Linked DNA regions of Oreochromis niloticus. The protein of the gene in region 2 interacts with the protein of the main gene of each other region in a pairwise test. Links are inferred from orthologs where the notes say so. Each region holds a gene or a part of one and is shown on either strand. Other genes may lie near its edges. The genes, in order: ribosyldihydronicotinamide dehydrogenase [quinone]-like and lrrc7.

Region 1 (10,303 bases), on a different chromosome or scaffold from region 2:
GTCATATAAGTACCGCGCGCTAACCGATTGCGCGACTAGAGCACATGTGCAAAGCCTTTATTCCTTTCTCAGTTCACTCAACTGATCTAAGGGGGAGGGGGGTCAGTCACTTATAGAACAAACGCTTTACACTCTATTATATTTCAACAAATCTCATGCTTGTAGTCTATGACTATATATAGGATTAATCGATAGATGCATTGTAACCGCAGTCTGGCGAAGAAGTAGTGGCTAGCAGGTCCAGCGGGCATGTGGTGTGGAGGTTAGCCGGACAACTCGGAGCCAGTCAGTTAAATCGAACAACAGACCTTTATTTGAACATAAGACCATACAAGCCAGGTCTCCACGTCTCTACTCTGTCTATACATACACGTGCGGGATCGGTAGTCGCCGGCGCCAGCCCGTTACAAGGTTTCTCTGAACAGCGACGCGAGCAGCATGTAACGGCCACCGCTATACTCCCACACCCACTAGGGGACTCCCCCAACTACTACAATAGTAGGGCACCCCCTTTAGTGGTGCTATAATACAATAAGGGTTGTTACAGCATCCATTAATATATGTGGGAAATCAGTCTTTTTTTCTATACATCTATGTTACAAATGTTTTTTTTTTTCAGTCAGTACACATTTGTTTCAGATCATTTCTGTTTCCCTTTTTTCATATTTCACTTTTATTCTTTAATTTTCGTAGTTTTGTGTATTTTACCTAATAGATATGGAACTAATGGATAAAGAATTGAACCATGTGGCAATAAAGACTCTGTATCCCTGTATTCTACCGCAATATCATGAACTTCCATTTAGCAAAACTAAATTAAATGAATGAAAACTGCAGTTTTCATGAAGTCTGTGTCTACTTCTTTTCATATAAATGTGCTTTGCCTCAAATAAAATTTGCCTCTCTGTTATACTATTTCCCAGTAATGTTTTAGAAGCAGTTAACTGTACTATTTGATCAACTTTCATGCATTTAAATTTGCTATTCTGACTTCCTTGGCTCCTACTTTTTAAAAAGTAGCTAAGTTAACGACATAAATGTTGATTAGCCTTCAGTACAGTTAGCTTGCTGCCACTGCAGGAAAAGCCCATCGTTTCAATACTTCTCAATGTTTTTAGACTATAAACTTTGACAGACTTAATTACAGTAGTGATGCCAATCTGGATCTCACTATATTTGGGGAGCAAATCCTTGCAGCGTACTTGCTAGCCATAACAATGATTGGTCAAATCCTGGTAGGTGCAGCGAGAGGTGATTGGCTTCTACAGTTCTTGGTAGTGGAGGAGCACATGATTGGATAACTCTTGAATTTGGTAGATAAGTAAAGCTATTGGCTCTCACATGATGGATTTGCTTGACTAACCGGTGGCAGGGAGCAGCTCAGAGGTTAGAACCATGAACTGACGTACTTAGGACATGTTTTCTATTGTGTTGCAAATGTTTTTATTTAACCAGTGCTCAGTAATATATGACTTACAGATGTTCAGCATTAGGTGTAACGCTTGACAATGCAACATGTTCCTGTAATGATCTTAGTTTGTGCAGTGATGAAGAAGTAGTAACACTGTTATACTAAATTAAATAAACAGTAGTGTCATTAGATCCTAAAGGTTTTTCAGTTATTTGCATGCCAGGTGAATAGAAATGCTGAAAAGCCTTCAGAACAAATATTGGAAAAGGAAAAACAAAATCTTTAAATATTACACATGCTTTACTCTTCCTGTGCACTCGCACCACAGTCAGCTGATTTAAGTTCATGTGTAGGAGGAGGAAAATCGTGGATGAGCCCACAGTGGCGATACACATTTTTACCTCACAAAAAGGCAATGGTAAAGAGTAAACTCCACTAGGACGGAAAGAACACATACTGCTAAAAGCGAGATCTTAAAGCTGCGTTCATGCCAAACCGAGCCAAAGCCTGTAGCATAGGCAGTGAGGAGCAATGAGGCTTGCAGTCACCTGATCTGCAGTAGCAGTCTGTTGTAAGTCTTTTTGGGCTTGCTTTCAACCTTTGTGTACGGTCGCCCCCCCCCCCCCCAAACACACGTTCTTATCAGAATAGGGATTTGCATTAGCATGTAGAACATAGCCTTCCCGCTGTGGCATATTTCTCTTTGACCTCAGGCTTCAGCAGGAAACCCTTCTCCTTGTCAAAGTAGTCCAAGGGAGCAAAGTACACAGGTACTTCCCCACCGAGGGTTTGCAGTCGTGTGCGCCAGCCCTCCAGCATGGACCTGCGAGATTCAGGAGAACCAGTAGCAGGATCCCAGAAGATCTGAGGGTCAAAAACCTGGAAGCCGCAGTAGTTCAGGATCCCGTTCTGCACACAGGGAGGAGCAGCTGTTACCACATGACAGATCATTTAATGCTTGGCTCTGTTTATAGTGAGACCTCACCTGCAGCGGCCACAGTGTGACATTGATGTCACCATTGATGCCAGTGTCACTGTACACAGATTCAGGACAGTCAGTGGTGAAGGACAGCATGGCTTTCTTGCCCTGCACAGAGAGCAAGGAGTGAGCAAAGAGGGAGAGGACACAGCCTGAACACACACACGTTGGTGGAGCTCTCACCTTGAAGAGCCCCTCACTGTACCGCTTCTCCTGTGCGTAGGCAAAGCCCAACACCCTATCCATCCACCCCTTCATGATTGCAGGAACAGATGACCAGTACATGGGGAACTGGGAACACAGGTTTAATGGTCATTTTTAATGTGGACACCTGTCAGCCGATCACAAAGACATTTCTAGTCAGACACTACCTGAAAGATGACAAGGTCTGCCTCCTTGAGCTTCTCCTGCTCTTTTTTGATGTCATCTGCAAGTCTGCCCTCCTCTGATGCCAGTTTGATCTCCTTTGCGTAGCAGAAGTTCTCAGCATTCTTCACTCCACCTGTGACAAAAATCCAGTCTTTGTATCTGAAGAACAATCAAAGCCAAAGCATTGCTATACCTGCAGGATATTTGTATACCAGTGATGTCCTCAGTAGTAGCAGCAGCTTTGAACTTCATGGCGTACAGGTCAGACACCTCTACAGTGCAGCCTTGAGCAGTCAGAGCTGCCACAGCAGCATCTTTGGCAGCAGCATTGAAAGAGGCAGGGCTCTCATGGGCATACACAATCAGCACCTTCTTGGCTGAAAAGCCAAAAAATAAATTAAAAAAAAAAAAATAATACAAGTTTTGATAAAGTTCCAGTCAGCACAGAAACCTTTCACTCTTCTTGTCAAAGATTATCAGCTTTGGCCAAACAAGTTTTAGCAATTACTAGGAAGAAAAATTCTTACCCATTCTCAAAACTGGTGCACAATAGTAAATTGTGAGTTTTCTGTCTAGCTGGTATAACAACAGAAAAATATGTCTATACTGGAGCAAAACACAGTCTGCTGCTTTTATACACACTTCAAGCACTACTTCACACAGGTGCTGTCAATCAGCAATAAACCTCATGAGTCAGCCAGCTGGTACTGGGGTAATTTCTCTCAGACCAGTTGGTGGCAGTAATGCACCATTTTGCTGTTTGCCAATCAATAAGTATCAATCAATACTTTATTTATATAGCACATTTAAAGACCAGAGGTACACCAAAGTGCTTCTCAGTAGTAAAATATGAAATAAAATTAATTACATATGGGTACTATAGTAGAGTAGAAATACATTTCCAGACAAAAAAAAGCACCACTTAACCCGTGAGTACTATGTTAAAAGAAATATTTCACACCTCGTGTAAAAGTTAGGTAAAATCAACACAGAAATATCAACTGGAAAAACCCACTAACACAATAGGTTAAAATTACAAAAAAATGCAATAAAAGTACAAAGTGTACATCCAATAAATCACTAACTAATCTAAAATGCAAGCTCAAATAAATAAGTTTTCAATCTTGTTTTAAAAGATTGAATAGATTCCGACGCGCGAATATCAGCTGGAAGACTGTTCCAGAGGTTAGGTGCAGCAATGGCAAAGGCACGATCACCTCTGGTTTTCAGCCGGGACCTAGGTTGCACCAAGAGCATTTGACTCGATGATCGAAGTGCTCTCCTATGAGTTTACAGGCTGAGAAGTTCAGTTAAATAGCAAGGCGCAATATTATTTACGATTTTGAATGAAAGCAATAAAATCTTAAAATCAATCCGATATTTCATGGGCAGCCAATGTAGGTCAGCAAGGATCGGGGTAATAGAATCAAACCTTCTAGTACCAGTTAAAAGGCGTGCCGCTGCATTTTGGACAAGTTGTAGTTTATGAAGAAGGGCAGATTGGAGGCCCAGATAAAGGGAGTTGCAGTAGTCTAATCTTGAAGTAATAAATGTATGTGTAAGTTTTTCAAGATCCATTCGTGGTATTTAATGCTTAGCCTTAGATATTTGTCGTAGTTGGTAAAAGCTAGACTGTACTACAGAAGACACTTGTTTAAAGGAGCTGTCCAAAAGCACACCTAAGTTACGTACTGTATCAAAGAGGGAGGTAGCGAAGGGCCCAAATATATCAGCTAATTGTCCCCGAGGGATGTGGCTATCAAAGACAATAATTTCTGTTTTCTTTTCATTTAGAAAAAGGGAGTTACTCGATAACCAGCCTTTGATCTCCCTCATACAATCAAGAAAACAGCGTAGTGAAGACGTGGTATCGTCAGTCAGACAAAAATAGATTTGAATACCATCAGCATAAAAATGAAAAGAAATGTTATATTTGTCAAATATAGACCAAAGGTAGCATGTACAATGAGAACAACACAGCCAACTGCCAATAAACCCTATAAAGAAGTAGAAGAAGAATTTCTCTCAGGTTTCTCATTTTGTATGGAAACTCTTGAGATTAACCTAAACCTTCAGCCCAGTTTAAACACAAGATTAATATATACCTCATCTAATCATAATCATCTCAGTTTCACAGACATCATTTTCCCATGGTGATTGTTGCCCAACTTGGCGAACCAATGACTTGCCTTACGCCCTGCAGTGTGGGAATCATTGGTATAAACTATACATAAGGACATAAAAGGTACACACACATACACACACAGCCAAATTTCTCTGACTTTGGAAGAATGTCCCTATCTCGATGGTTAACAGCTCCCATTGAAAATAAACAGAAACAAAACTAGCAGGACAAACATACAGAGGTATAATTCTGGTTTTCTTAATGTTTATTTTGCATGTTGCTCATTTTTAAAGAGACTAGAAAATTGTTTGGCATTTTTAGTGTGCTCAGTATTTATCTGGTCTTGGCAGATAAACATTAGCTCAAAGTTTGTGCTCCAGGTGAGGCTTGAACTCACAACCTCGGCATTGCTCAGCCCAATACTGTCATATAAGTACCGCGCGCTAACCGATTGCGCCACTGGAGCACATGCACACAGCATTTATTCCTTTCTCCCTTCATTCAATAGGTGTATGGGAAAAAATAATTTCAATACTTCTCAATGTTTTTATACTATAAACTTTAACAGACTTAATTACAGTATTGATGCCAATCAGGATCTACCTGTATTTGGGGAGCAAATCCTGGCGGCATTCTTGGTAGTCATAACAATGATTGGTCAAATCCTAGTAGGTGCAGTGGGAGATGATTGGCTTCTACAGTTCTTGGTAGTGGAGGAGCACATGATTGGCTAAATCTTGCTAGATTCTCATGTGATGGATTTGCAGGACTAACAGGTGGCAGGGAAAAGCTCAGAGGTTGGACACATGAACTGGTTTACTTCGGAAAACATTTTCTAGTCCTGCCACTGACATCTTCTCTCCTGAATGAATTGTGGTTATCTTTGAAAAAAAAGAAGTAAATACTTTTGATATCGGTTGCAGCTGCCTACATGATTTTCTTTGTCATGAGCATTTCTCATGAGGTAAAGAACAAACTAAAGAGGAGTCAACTCTCATTATGGTTTAAATAGCTGTGATTTTCCACCATTTGATTTAAAAACAGAAAAAGCCTCTCAGATGAGAGGTGAAACACCTTCATGAAAATTAAAGTATTTACTTTCCAAGCTCCTTAGTCAAACTAAAGAACTAAGTGTAAACTGGCATTTAATTTCTGTTTTCTCTTACTTTCCATATCCAAACAAACATCACTGGATCTAATGTTTTTAGGCTGACAGCTTGTAGGAATAACAGAGACAAAGGATGTGAGCTAAGGCTTATAAGCTATGTTAAGAGATTTTTTAGGATTTTGGGATTTTTATTATGTTATGCTTAAAAGTACGTTTCATTATCTAAATGTGTTTGCTCTTTTCAGTATTCAGCTTAAACTCTGCAACTCTGTGCAGACTCCTAAATGGGGAAGTTACACAGGAAGCCTGCAGTTCTATTTTCTCTCTTCCTGTATGTGCTCTCTGAATAAAGACTCTTTCTTTTTATTGCACAGTGCGAGTCTCCCTGAGCCTCGACCGTGTACACGTTAAACCTGTCTGAGCGTTTTATTCCGACCTGAGTTGCATAACAGGAAAACTCCTGACATTTCTTGGTCCTTCGAGCCGGATGGGACACAGCACTTTTGTGTGACCCCACAGGAAAACCTCATCGAGCCCTGACGTCGTGAGAAGCCCGCGCTGAAGTCTGTTGACAGCTCCTCTCTAGGTAGAGGATATAAAGTCCAGAGACGTGACATTCGGGTTCTGGCCAGCGTTCTTATAAGTGGTCCACGGCGGTGGGGGTCGATGAGGTAAACCTGAGAGACCGGCAGTGAATCAGCAACCAGGTGAATATTAACACTCAGACACCTCGCGTAAAACGTCTAGGCTCGGCTCGCCCAGAGGGGCTGGTAGCATTCCTAAAAGTAAACGCTCGCCTGAAAAAGGGGCTAGAAGCTATTTTAGATAAACCTGGTCCGTAAGACGTAGCACGCGTTGAAAAGGTATTGTTGTTGTTTTGTTTTTGTTGGTGGAATAAGTTGATTTGTTGATTTTACAGCACAATAAGGAGGCTGAACTATTCCACTGTTTTGTTTGCTGTTGGCCACCCAAGTACTGGTGAAAAGAGAGAAACAGGTCGTGTTGACACCGCTTTCAAGAATAGCTTGAAAGTAGAAGGCCGTGTCAACTACCTCTCTCGATTCTCGTGCCAGAGAAGGTGCCGCAGTTGTGTAGTTGTAAAGTATTAAAATTAAAAATAAGAGGATTAAAATGGGTAACTCACTGCTGACGAGCAGTGGTTAGAAAAGAAATGTCCAGGCGCCGGACAAATTAGTGCATATAGATGGAGAAATCCAAAGAAAACTAAATGTCCCACGTGGGAGGGAAAATGCATTAACTAAATTATAAGAAACCCTCCAAGCAGAAATAAATACTGAAAAGGAAGCTAAAAAGAAATCAAAGCATACACAAGAGTTGTAACATTTTAAAGCATGGAAAGTGGAATGAAGTGGAATAAACAAAAGGTTAAATTAAGGTTAACTTAAATTAAAGCAAAGCTTATCTAGTGATAAGCATGATAATAGGAGATAATAGGAAGGTTAACAACCTGTAAACTGGTATTAACAATGAAACAAAATTGGGAAGACAACCAAGCTGAATGAATAGAATGCGTGAAACCAGATAATTCACACAAAATATATCAAATAAAAAAGAGAGATTCAATTCAATTCAATTCAATTTTATTTATATAGCGCCAAATCACAACAAAAGTCGCCTCAAGGCGCTTTATATTGTACAGTAGATAGCACAATAATAAATACAGAGAAAAACCCAACAATCATATGACCCCCTATGAGCAAGCACTTTGGCGACAGTGGGAAGGAAAAACTCCCTTTTAACAGGAAGAAACCTCCGGCAGAACCAGGCTCAGGGAGGGGCGGCCATCTGCTGCGACCGGTTGGGGTATGCATAAGGTATATTAAGGCTGTGTCATTGTTCAGCCAAGGAAAATGTCTCCAGCTTGGGAAGGTGTGAAGCTGCAGATTCACACAGACCCGTGATGGATACATAATAAAATATAAACTAATATACTATTGTATATTAGTAGTAAAGTAGTGAAGTAGTGTATTGTAATATACTCTTGCTGTTATAAAAAAGGAAAAACAATACAATGATAATATTAATAATGATATACTATTAGTAGGAAGAGGCACCTCAGTCAGTTATGATATGAGGTGAATGATTGTTAAAAGTAGTCTGATTCAAGCTCAAGGTTTGCTCAAACTCAGTACAATGATGATATATGAGATGAAGAAAATAAGGAATTAACTACACTAATCAGGTGCATAGAGACACTTGACCTGCTTGTAAACCTGTCATCTTAGATGAGACTTTGTTAGGATGAAGAGCAAACCTATACTAACAACTAATGAGAAACTGAATTAAATATGTGGACACTACCAAGCTAATGAGGAGCGGTGACACGCATGGAGATGCTGGTTTTGCTCACTACAATCGTATAAATAGAGTTTGAATTCAGTACTGTGGATGTACAGTGAGTGACCTCTATATATCTTGAAAAGCATGTCTGAAATACTCGTATGAAAGCATATTTTGAGTGATTTTAACTGTGTAAATGCTGTGAGTAGTAGGTTTTGAGTGATTGGGTGTGATTTGTACAAAAAATAATAAAACATAAGTAATAATAACGCTACAAAGGTTCATAGTAGAGTGTGTGAACAAGTGGCAGTTTGAGAGAAAAAGGCAGTGTGTGTGATGATTCCTGATGTCTGAAAGAGCTCAATTTAAAAAGTGTGTGTGAAATAAAGGTGTGTTGGTTTTAGATCAAGATTTAGTAGAATTAAAGAGGGTTTATAGACTATGAATACAAAGAAAAACAAAAGAGTTCGATTAGTCTGCAGAAACAGGAAATATGTATAAATATATATGTGTGCCTGTGGTGTGTCAAGACAGCTCACAGAGAGAAACAGAACTCTATGAATAGACTCTATGAATAGACTCTATGAATAGAATGAATAGACAACACATACTCAAATTGTTATATGTGAAATTATTTCTGGAAAGGGTCAGAAGAGATAGTTTGAACTTAGAACTCAGTGATATGATGCATGAATTAAACCTTATGGCAATAAACACTTGCAATGAAGAATGCAGCTTACACTCAATTAATATGAACGCAAAGCCTTGATGCCATAGGCAATTTGTTTTTGTTTTTGTTTGTTTGTTTTGTAAGTTTGGAAAACAAATTTGTGATCATACTTGTGGATCACAGTGACACATAATGATTAGGCACATGATTTAACAATGACGAGTTTTAGAGCTGTGAGCTATGAGCTATAAGCAATGCAAAGTTTTTCCTAACTTAAAAGTTTGAAATATGTAAGATGTATGAATTCTTTGAGAAATAGGAATTGCCTAAAATGCCTTAAGTCAAAATGTAGTGTTGCATCTACAAAGAAGAAAGCGGAAGAAGCATTCAGTAACTTGGAGCTGGTTTCAGTGATGTTTTTGTAGACAGTTCAGCGTCTAAGAATAGCCTAGGCTATTGTAGGCTATGCAGTAACCACAGCAGATAGAGTTGTAGAAGCAAAACCGTTGACATCCTCACACACGCAGGCCAAGATATAAATATATACACTGACAGACAGTATGTTTTTTCAGCTGTGCAACACTTTGAGATCTTCTAAAGCCACTATTAGAAGTAATTATATTGCCAAAACAGTTAGCATTTTGTAAATGTGCTGCACACCAGAAAGGCTGCTCAGAGGTCATTAAAGGCAATAACTTTGCAGATCAAGCAGCAAAAGCAGCAGCACAACAAACTATACGCTCCCCAGAAAAGACAGTAAAACAAAGCCAGCAATTATTCTTCGGTTTGTGAGTCGCAAAACAAAGATTGAGTTACTGAAACAGGGAAAGAAACTAAAAGGGACCGGTGTGTATTTAAATGAACATTTAACGAAAAAGACTGCTGAAATTGCAAGACAGGCACGCAGCCTGAGAAAACAAAATAAGATACAAGCGACATGGACGAGGAACTGCAAAGTAATGATAAGACTAAATGGCAATCCTGAAGAAGCGAAAGTTGTGATGATAAGAGAACTCAAAGACTTAGAGCAATATAAATAATCAGGAATCTGCTATGGAATCTATTGGAAAAGTGACAATTGGATAATGAACAATGGGTATGGAAAGTGTTTCTGGCCTTATGGCTCAAAAACAATGGAAAAAAACAACAACATAAACACATAAATGACAAGTTTGGACACAGATTATAGGTTTCCATTCAGAGATATTGAAGAGGAAGACTTTGATTATGAGAAGGACTGTCAAGGAGGTTATTTTGCCACACACGCTGAGAAGATGAACTTCAAAACATTTAACTATGCAGAGCACAACATGCATGACCCTGAAACTAACATTGACCCA
Region 2 (10,575 bases):
CATACACATAGATCAGCAAATAATTAATCAGATGGTATCGACCTGCCAATAAATCGATTGGCTCCATTAGCCACCTTAGCAGCTAGGCCAAAGTTAACTAACATAACTCAGAAGGGTAGCCAGTTTTATCTAACAAAGCCTCTCTGAGCTTCAGGAAGTTGGCTATCAGGTAAAGCTGCGGCTGACATAAGCAGGGCATTAGATACATGGTGGTATTGCTTTGTTTTTAGAAGATATTTTATCTTCTAGCTAATATTAGCTAATGCTAGCATCACTGCTAACACAGATGAACTGGAAACTACCTTACAAAGCAAAATAAAGTCTTAAGTGGATAACAGTGGATTTGTGCTGTGTAGTTAAGTTGCAGCTAGATAGATGAACCTGCTATCTTGCTTGTATCTTGCTTGCTAATCTTAGCACTAGAAAAATTATATCTCATTTCAATGGCTATCTTGGCAAATATCCTCCACCACCCAATGTATATTGTAATACAATGATACTGTTAGATCTATATCAAACAGTAATGCTTTAGCCGCCTGTAAATAATTTAATGGAACAAAGTAAAAATGTACAACAAAGATTTCCTTTCAACAATACTAGCAAACATGTGCTCAGCCAGCTAGCCATAATATGATTGTTTATGAAATTACCTTAATAAATATATTAAGAATATAGTTCGAGGTTAATCTTGCTAATTAAGCTCTGATAATTATTGCAACTCTATTATAGACCATCTACCCATCGATCCAACCATCCATGGATAGCAGTACGGCTTTTACATTTAGCCACTGCCTTGACATATCATTCATATTTTGGCAACCACGTGACCATTTTCTCTGCTTTAAACTAGCCTCTCCATGCTTTTCAGTGGTATCACTACATCTGAAAACACCAGTATATCGCAATCAGAGCATTACAGTCTTCATCATCATCATCCTTCATGATATCACAATTCATCCTCATCGTCGTAGCACAGACTGCAGATGTACTGGTATCTCTGTCCCCCTTCCCTCACTGGGTCTCTCTCCCTTGGCCCATCACCATGACGATGGGAGCCGGTTCCATGGATACAGTCACTAGGCAACCAGCAGCATCATCAGCAGCAGCAGCAGCAGCAAGGAACAGCAGTGTCCTGTCAGAGCTAAAGTGGAGCAGCAGTAGAAGACTGAGCCCCTCATCCTTCTTTATCTGTATGCAAGTTTGCTCTTTGAAGAGGAAATGTTAATGCATTTATCATTTCTTAGATCTGAGGCCTCGGTACTAGGCATGCTTAATTTAGACTGACAAAATGAGTACATCTATAGATGGGTTTAAATGTAAGTAATACGGAAAACTGATGATGACAAGATTGCAGTTACCTGAATATTATTACTTCCACCACCACTAAGTGCTCAGATGTAAAAACCTTCTGTCTTTAGAATTTCTCAGAAACGGGAACCACCAAATGCCAAAGACAAGGGATTAAGTACCAACCATAAAGTACATTAATAAATAATTAGGGTTTTCAGTATAAATGAGATGGCTATTTATTACGACAACTGACAGATTATTCTTTGGCTCAGCTGTAACAGACAGCCATAAAAACACAGATTTGCCTAAGCAATAGTCTAAAAACCAAAAAGCTGTTTCCATAAGATGATGAAAAGCAGCACATTCTCACACTGAGAAGGTGGAATTTGATAATGTTTGGCCCGTTTACTTGAAAATATTACTCTAAAGAACCAAGCCATAATCAAAAGATCCACTGATTAAGCTGCTGACTATTGACCATCTTGCATTGGCATCACACCGTGCATTCTTAAAATAATCATTACCCACGGGTCAAACTAAAACCATCTTTGAACTTGATTTTCATGGCTGCTGCTTACTTGTAAACTATCACGACGGCATCTTGCAGGGTTATGACACCAATTCTTGAAAAACCCTGTCCACAGATAGGCACATAAACACCTGCAGAAGTACTCAAAATGGTAGTTCCTGTTATGGTAGATGTAGCCAGGACCATATTTTCGTGTGATAAGACACGAACATACAGATGCAGACTCACAAGGTAAAAACAATATCGACCAAGCTGTCGCAGCTGCTAAATACTGGACTAATCTAGCTGTTGCTAACAGCTGGCAGATCATCATTCAAAGGAGAAAACAAATTCCACAAAGAGGGAAACAGTGAAAACTGCTCTAAGTGTTCTGTTATCTATTCATGAGATAATTTAGGAAATGTGTGAGCAGCAATGTGCACTTAAAGCAAAGATTCAAATGCAAAAAGGGGTTATACACGTGATTACCAGAGATTCATCAATGTGTGAGTTTTATTATAACAGATCAACTGATGTGAACTACTTTATGAAGTGTTTGCAAGGTCAGTTTTTTGTTATTATTTGAAAAAAAATATCAGTTTTACAACCATCTGTCAGTAACTGAGTCCTGTGAATTGTTCCCTTGAAAATTATTGATCAGTCCAGTGGTTTGTGTTCAAAAGTCTCAGTGAACGTTTTGTTTGAAAAGTAATCTTCAACATACAGGTGTTAAATACAATCCATGGCTATAAAGTACTTGATTAGATTCCATTACTGGTACACATTTCTACCAGGCAATCTCTCAAAAATCACTTTATAGTCCTTAAAAAAATCTACATGGTATTCTATATCTCATGTATCCTGAAGATGTGGCAGATCACTCTCCATGTCTGGAGAATTACACATGCAGCATATAAGCTGTTGTGATCAGTGTGCCCAAAGAAAGAAACCAGCGCTGAACACATAATAGTCTTTTTTTGCAAAATGACACCAAACTGAGCAGCGACTTCAAAGCCCTGTCGAAAAAGAGTGTATAAATAGAACCATCTTAGGAGCAACAAAGACAGAGGAGCTTTAAAATATGATGCAGTTGAGATTGGAATTAAATATTCTCTTTGATTTTAAAAGGGAAAAAGGGCCCTTTTTGTTGGTTTACAGCCCTGTAAGTCACATACATACACACACAGAAGAGACATGGACAACAAATTAGAGCTTGTATCTGTAAAAATTATGATCCAGTTAATAAAAAGCCATAACCTTCTACAGGTGCATAACTGCAGCCATAAACCATTTAGGCAGATGGTTAATAAGCCTTTGTCATTACAGGCTCATAACAAGCATGACAAACCGATACAGCTAAATAATGGTGCAGATAGTCTAATAAGCACAGCATACCTCAAGGTGGTGGATTTAACAGGTGTGAATGTGGTGCATTATATGAAAGCATGACGTTATAATGGCAGCAGGGCCGGGGGCTACATGTCAAGACAAGAGGGTATGTGACACTGCATCATATGTTATCCCCCCCACACACCCCCACCTCTCCCTGATCCTGCAGTCATGGTTGTTTCATTAGCTCATCTCGGAGCTTCAAAGGCCCTGGGTGGGGGGTGTCTATGAAAAGATGAAGGGGCTTAATTTGTGCCTACATTTAAGCGCCAAATTATTAAATACGGTGTACAGTGCCGCTGTTCAGATGCTCAGTAGCAAAGCTCACCAAATTCTGAAAAATGCCATTCAAGTTGTCACGTGATGTCAGCCCAAGATAAATGTATGGTCATGACAAAACATGAGGGAAAACCATCAAATGTCCCTCCTGTGGACATTTACAGGATATTTTAATATTTATTTAAGTTATTTCTTTTTTCTTTTTTTTTATCCAGTGAGATCAGACTTCAGCTGCAGTCTTTCCTATCCCCAGATTAATGTGGTTATTCATTTAGGGAACTCCATCATTAGCACAGACTTAACATGAAATGGGCTACGGCAGCAGGTATGTGTCTTTCACTGTCGCCTTACGTTGTAAAGTAGAGTAGTTATCCATCTGGCAGGCTACTGGTGACGGATCCGGTTAAGAAAGAAAAAAAAATCACTCAGCTCGCCCCTTTGGAAACCGCAGCACCGGACGAGATCAGTCTATCGGGACAAACCGAACCGGTGTGAAACCAGGACAGGTACCCGCGCTATCAGCCGCATTTTTAGTGCCCCCGAAGCCAGAAGACGGAGGAGATGAGCGCATCAACCGGGGCAGTGTGATTCATCTCAGGGTCAGGTTTAAATCCAAGTCGGTTACACGCGCGCAGACTACACACTGCTTTCAGTCACATCCCCTTCGGTCCATTTAGAAAATAAGAAGCAGGCGCGCAATGTCACAATACCAAACGATTCCGTGACCAACGGAGGGGAGCGGCGTGCTTCTCCTTCTTCTTCTCCGGTACCGTAAAGCACGCTGCAGAAAAAACACATTCAGCACGAGCGTCCCCTCCCATACGTCCCTCGTAGAGAGAGAGAGAAAGAGAGAGGGGGGGAGGAAAGATAGATGAAGATGGAACGAGGACGCGTGGATGTGCGCGCCTGTGTGCGGTAATCGCGCACGGGTGAGAGTTTGTGAGAGCAAGGAGGAGAAGTCGTCTTTTATCTCATTGTGCAGGTGCGCGTGCACGTGAAGTCGAGCTTGTCTCTGAGACTGTTGCCATGCTGCCTCCATCTTTTCCTATGAGATTTTTTTTCTACTTTAGTGAGCAAAAATAGCCCGGTTTCGATTAGAGATAATATTCAATGAAAAGGTTTATTTTAAACAAACGCCACGCTCTTATAAGGCAATGTCTGTTAACGGATGATATGATGTAATAATGTCTTATTAACTATTAATAAATTATCTTTTAACCCTATAGTTCCGCTACAAGTCATTTTGAACCAATTATGAGTTGCCACGTTGTTAAAAAAATTCTTATTAACTTAATTATAAAGGTCCTCCAAATAAGCCTGGACTAAAATCCACCAATCACCAACTTGTAGTATTTATAACTGGATTTGATGGCATATTAGAGAATGATAAACCAATTAAGCCCTTTAGTGAAGTTAATATGAACAGACTGTAGTAATCCATCAGTCCTTATATTTATAAATGACTTGCTATCTGCTGTGCGTTATACTGCAACTATTTGCATTCCAAACAAGCATCTCTTTTTCTTTAAATTACATATGACAAGTCACCAGGATTATCAGTATCTGACCCCACCCTGCTAAAAACACACAAATCTTTGGCCTCTGTGATAAATGTGTCCCTCCTCCTCCTGAACATAATTTTAGCATCCAAAGTGAAATCTGACTGTGAAAGGCAAAGGTGCCACGTTGTCATTGAATCTTAACCTAGTCTTGCTTGCTCGTTATTTAATTTCACAGCACAACTGTTGGTAATGATGACTCCACACTCACTGGCCTTTAGTGGCACGACACAAGACACACAAACATCAAAGACTAGCCACACATGTGATGCAGTGGTGGAAGCAGCCGGGGACCCTGCTGGCATTGTGGAGGACATGATGGATGCTAAGTGAGCAGCCTTACCCAGAGCTCAGTGTGGTGCAAACTGCTGCTTACATTCAGTAGTCATCTGAGTCGGCTGCTGTTTTGAGGCTTCTAAGTCTAATCAGTTCATTCACAGGCAGCACGAGCCAATTCAATACTATTTGTTTATTTCAATATCACTCAGCAGAGCTTAAATCCACTTTACAGAAAGGCCCACTTTCTTCAGTCTTGGCAACACAAGTGCAAACAGGTTGGCAGTGAAGTAATAGCTAAACTTCCTGTACGTACGCCTGTGTCTCAGCTCAGAGTTTCACTCTGAAGTGTAATCTGTTGCCTGCAGTTTTACACCTCAGCTGCACGTTTCATGCGGCTTAGCAAAGATGAGCATCGTCATTTTCCAAAATCCCAGATTAAATCAGGACTTTACATCTCTGCAAATCATTCCACACAGCGAGGCACTGGTTTGAGATCTGAAAAGCAGGACTGTGACAGGAACATCAGGACAAATTAGCCTAAGGACGGTGACAGCAGCTGTCCCTGCCTTATTTCTATTGCCCTCAACAGCATCAGCGGGGCTGCTCAGAGACCAGCATCACACAGTGCATTTGCAGTAGGCAGCTTTAGGTGTGCAGCTGTGTGAGTGAGGTATGTATGTTACTGCAGAAGAGCACTCATACCTGCAGATCTGCCCTACTGGAAGTCAAATCCATGAATAAAATAGGATTCAATAATCAAATACAACAGATTAGACCCATTTTAATGGTGTAAAATAAATAAGATTAGATATTGGGTGTTAGAATGTTTTAATAGCAGTTCAGTATACTTCTTCCCAATCATCCGAATGCTAGGAGCTTCTTTCCAAAACATCAGCGACAGTCAGGATGTGTTTTCGATCAATTTAAACACTGTGTAAAATAAATTACATTGCAGGTCTGGACTGCTTGTGTGGGAGGTCATGACAACATGATAACAAGTACCACTGGAGTAGTACAATTAGAGTAATTATGTTGGCCCCTGGAAAAATTAGATATAGATACAGTAAATCTTGAAGACTTAAACCGACCTGTGACTTTGCAGCTCTGCTCCATTCTATTGTACTCAAGTCTACTGTAACAGTGACATAGTATCCTTATGCCATCTGTACCAGTAGGCAGTGCCAGGATGAAGCTCCCGTTAAACCCAGATGGCAGCACTGGGATTCTCCAAGATCGACTGAGTTTGACAACAGTCTGCGAGAAACCAGGAAGCCGGCCAGCCCGTCACCCTGTCACTCAGCTAGTCATCTTCCTCTCTCTAGCCCTTCTTTTTTCCCTTCCCATTACACATCCACTTTAACTCCATGTCAGTCCTTTAAGTATTTGGTTAAATAGCTTAAAATGTTCAGGGTCTTTTGTTGCCTGGCAACAACAGACACCAAATATAGAGGCTTTTTAGATAATTTTGTTTTCAAAAGAGGACATCCTACAATAAAGAAGTCTACTTTTAGAACACGGATGACAGCACAAATGGAAAAACATTTTAAAAACACAGTACAGTCTACTGCTGAAGGGATGGTGAGCAGCTCCTCTTTTGAGACTCAAAGCACTGAATATGTACTCGTGCAGCTGAAGAAATAAAAATAATGTGAAAATGTTATTTTTATTCTGCATTATTTAATACAACAAGGTAAACTTTGATGTATAATATACTCCTTACAAGTGAAATATGGCAAAATATTTGCTATGTTTCCTTTTGATGGTTATGGCTTATAGCTCATGAAAGTCACACACATACAAAAGAAAAGTACTTTTGTTTATAAACGCAGTACTTTACCATGAATTACTATATCAGTGCATGGTGGCATAGAGGTGATCCTTTTGTGGCAATGCGGAGGTGTTATTTAAGCCCAGGCTGCTTTGATAGCCACCTTCAACTCATTTTTTTTAGGTTGAGGTCACTCGAGGGCAATATCTGTCTGCTGATAGTAATATCATGGTCAGCAAACCCTTTGGTCGTAATGTTGGTGCTGTGGGGAGGTGTTACGGCCTGCTGGAAAAGCAAAATCGTCACCTCCATAAAGTTTTGTCAGCAGATGGAAGCATGAAGTGCACTAAAATCTCCCAGTAGCTGGGTAGCTTTGGACCAACCACAACCAAAACCAGAACCCCAAAACATCACAGGCCCCCGAACCTTCACACCGGCCTCTCCACGCTTGGTCTGTACTCTTAGACATTCATTTCCAATGAAGTTTCCCATTTTCAATTTCCAAGTGAAATACAAAATTTAGTTTTATGTGAACAAAGGACTTTGAACCACTGAGTAAAAATCCTGTTCTTGTGCTTTTTCCCAGATAAATGCTTCTGACGGTGTCTGTGACTCAGGCCTGGCTTGATATCAGGAATCTGACAGTTGTACAGTAGCACCTTTCCTGAAGCCCTATGTTTGTTGTGGCCCCCCAGGCCTCAGTCCACTCCTTCTGAAGCTCTCCCAAGTTCTTCAGTCAACTTTCCTTGACAATACTCTCAAAGCTTTGGTTATCTTTGTTGCTTGAACACCTGTTACTACCAGGACGTTGTTCCCATCAACATTCCAACAATATGCTTCCATACAGCACTCTGCAAACAGCCAGCCTTTGCAGGAATGACCTCCTGTGGCTTACTCTCAGAAGGGAGGAGGGTGTTAAAGATTGTCATGGCAACTGTCAAGTCAGCAGTCTTGTTGCATGACTGCTTGTTGCATGTCCCACAATTGTTGCATGAGATATACAGTGTGTTGTGTTATAATAACCATTGCCTTTAAAACACAGAGATAAGCAACAGTCAGTTTTGGGCCTATTGACTGTCAGAACCTAAATGCATCACTACTACAAGTGCTCCTCTAATAGCCTTGTTCCACATCTGGAACCACATCTGGGGTCACATCTGAATCACTGCATAATCTGAAATTGATAACAGTTCAAATAGATTGGACAAATATAATAAAAACAGAAATGGAGGCAATCAATCAGACCTTACTGGGTACGGTTTCATTTTAAATTTCTACATCTATAAAATGATATAACAACTCTCAAATTTCTCTACTCTATAAACAAAATCAGGTGTGGATACATAGCCAATTACAAAAGCAAATGAACAAAGCAAACTAAAAAAGCTCCAGATGAAAAATGGATAATACAAAATGTGTACATGCACTAACTGTACAGTATGTGCAGCCTGCTGCAGTTGCTTCTATTCATTTTCATATTTTTCCATTTATTTCATCTGCGTGTTTCTTTTTTATTTCTTTTTTTCAGTTATTGCTTGTGATCATTGTGAGCTGTTCCATCCTGGAAATGATTTGGGTTTTTTCCCTTTTAAAAAAATGACGTTAATACTTGCTCCAGACAAAAGAGATTGGTAAGATGGAGACACAAGCTCCATTTCTTCATAGAGAATGGGAGCGCTGGAGAGGAGTGAAGATCACTGCTTACAAGTCCAGCTGTCAATAGGAACATCAAGATCATACTGCTTAGCTGCCAGATGGCAATAATATCTTAAATGTACTGTGCTGACCATCTCTACAAAACAAGGTGAGAAGTGTTTTAAAACCACCCAAAGTTGTTCAAGGCGGGTGCCCATCAGCTGGGTATCAAGTATCTCTTTGACCTCACATCTGTCCCTCTGTTTTAACACAAAGGGACTTCCTTCCATGTTGCTGTGAAGAATAATAATGTGCAGTAAAACAGAGAAGTTAGAGGAGGCTATGTCCAGTAAGTATGTGGCACCTTGTTGAGGATGTTTGAGTTTATGGTGGCCACAAGAAAACAAATTGGCCTACTGAGACAAAAACCTGAGGAAGGATGACATCAATCACACAAACTGGGGGTAGATCTTGACAGTCTGCATGCTGGATCATAAAAGAGGACATTATCAAGACTTTTGGATGTATATAGCGTCCAGTTAAGACCTCACACAGTCACATAGGCCTATAGACCAGCTGTCAGCCTTCTGGCAACCTCCGGTGACTAGAGGAAAATTGGGATTCCCCACCATTTGGTAGTAGTTGCTGGCTTTAACCAAGTGAAATCAGTCACCAAAGAGATGCATCAGAAATGTCCTTTTTGATTGCTTCGGTGATGAGGAAACCAACACATTTCAAAACGCACATTTTTCCCTAGCAACCTCTGAGGCCCTAGTAACCTGGGTCACTGTTACTAGGGTTACTAGAGCAGTCGCCGGGCGTAGATGCATGGAGCTCTAGCAATCAGTTTCACAGTGACTGCCAGCAACCTTCAGCAAACGCTGACCATCCAGTCAGGGAATACACATTTTTCCGGTGGTTACCAGATGGTCACAGACTGGCGGCTAAGCTAGTCAAGCAGCTCCAGCCAAAAAAGGTGGATAAATAAACCACTTAAGGTCAGATACTTCATACAAGGAAGTCCTTCCTATAGGCATCCCTTTATATAATTCGTCTTCTTAACAGTTTTTTATTTTTACTTAATGTCAGCCCGACTTTCTAAAACAGGAGAAAAAAAAGGGAGTACATGAACTTCTCTGTAGTTTGCAAATACAAGAAAAGCATCCTTCAGTTGCAGACAAAATGTTTTAAAACTGTAAAAGATAAAACACTGCAGTCAAAAACCTGAAGTGGCATCTCTGGATATATATTTTTACTGTAACATTTAAAAGTCATTTTAGACCCAAGTTTTCACAAAGGGTTATTTGGAAAGGTTACAGAAAGCTTGCTTTCAAATAACTCAGAGGAAATGTCAGTTTTAAAGAAAATAAATGAGAGATGCTGCATTTTGCACCCAGTGTAACACTTTGGTGGGCCAAACTCAGTCTATGAGAGCCAATTTTTGCCCACAGGTCCTATTTCAGGCACTTTGGATTCAGCTGATTTTGCCCACAGGGGTTATTTTGGGCCACCCTGGTTTAGAAAGCCACGCACGCATCTGCTATAAACATAGGTCACAAAGCTGTACATTTAGAGAGCTTGCCTATTTTTGGCACCAGATTGCAGCTCCTTAAACACCTTGAGTTTATTCTAGGAGTGCTATCCACAAATAACACAATGGTGCCCATAATAACACAATGGCAGGATTCCCAGCTCTGTTGATACAGTAGATTTATCAGTGGTGTCCAAACTCTGGCTCTAATGAATTATACAAAGTGGACATGGATTTCTTATTGCAGCGCTGGGTCATATCTACAAAACTGTGGACTGTTACATCTTTATAAGGATCAGTTTGTGTTTCAATCCTTGAGAGTACCAGTTATCTTACT

The links.
Region 1: the proteins of lrrc7 (region 2) and ribosyldihydronicotinamide dehydrogenase [quinone]-like interact in a two-hybrid assay, tested with the Homo sapiens proteins (2 studies listed by BioGRID). The two-hybrid records come from large-scale screens. The link is inferred for Oreochromis niloticus from reciprocal best matches to the Homo sapiens genes LRRC7 and NQO2.

What each region holds. Positions count from the first base shown.
Region 1 is NC_031973.2:10,523,921-10,534,223, forward strand, and holds ribosyldihydronicotinamide dehydrogenase [quinone]-like, read right to left. Parts: upstream 3,440-10,303; 5' UTR 3,291-3,439; coding exon 3,287-3,290; intron 3,137-3,286; coding exon 2,972-3,136; intron 2,893-2,971; coding exon 2,762-2,892; intron 2,682-2,761; coding exon 2,574-2,681; intron 2,499-2,573; coding exon 2,397-2,498; intron 2,321-2,396; coding exon 2,072-2,320; 3' UTR 1,420-2,071; downstream 1-1,419. UniProt on the Homo sapiens protein: The enzyme apparently serves as a quinone reductase in connection with conjugation reactions of hydroquinones involved in detoxification pathways as well as in biosynthetic processes such as the vitamin K-dependent gamma-carboxylation of glutamate residues in prothrombin synthesis.
Region 2 is NC_031981.2:32,125,789-32,136,363, forward strand, and holds the start of lrrc7 (leucine-rich repeat-containing protein 7), read right to left. Parts: upstream 4,398-10,575; 5' UTR 3,843-4,397; coding exon 3,818-3,842; intron 1-3,817.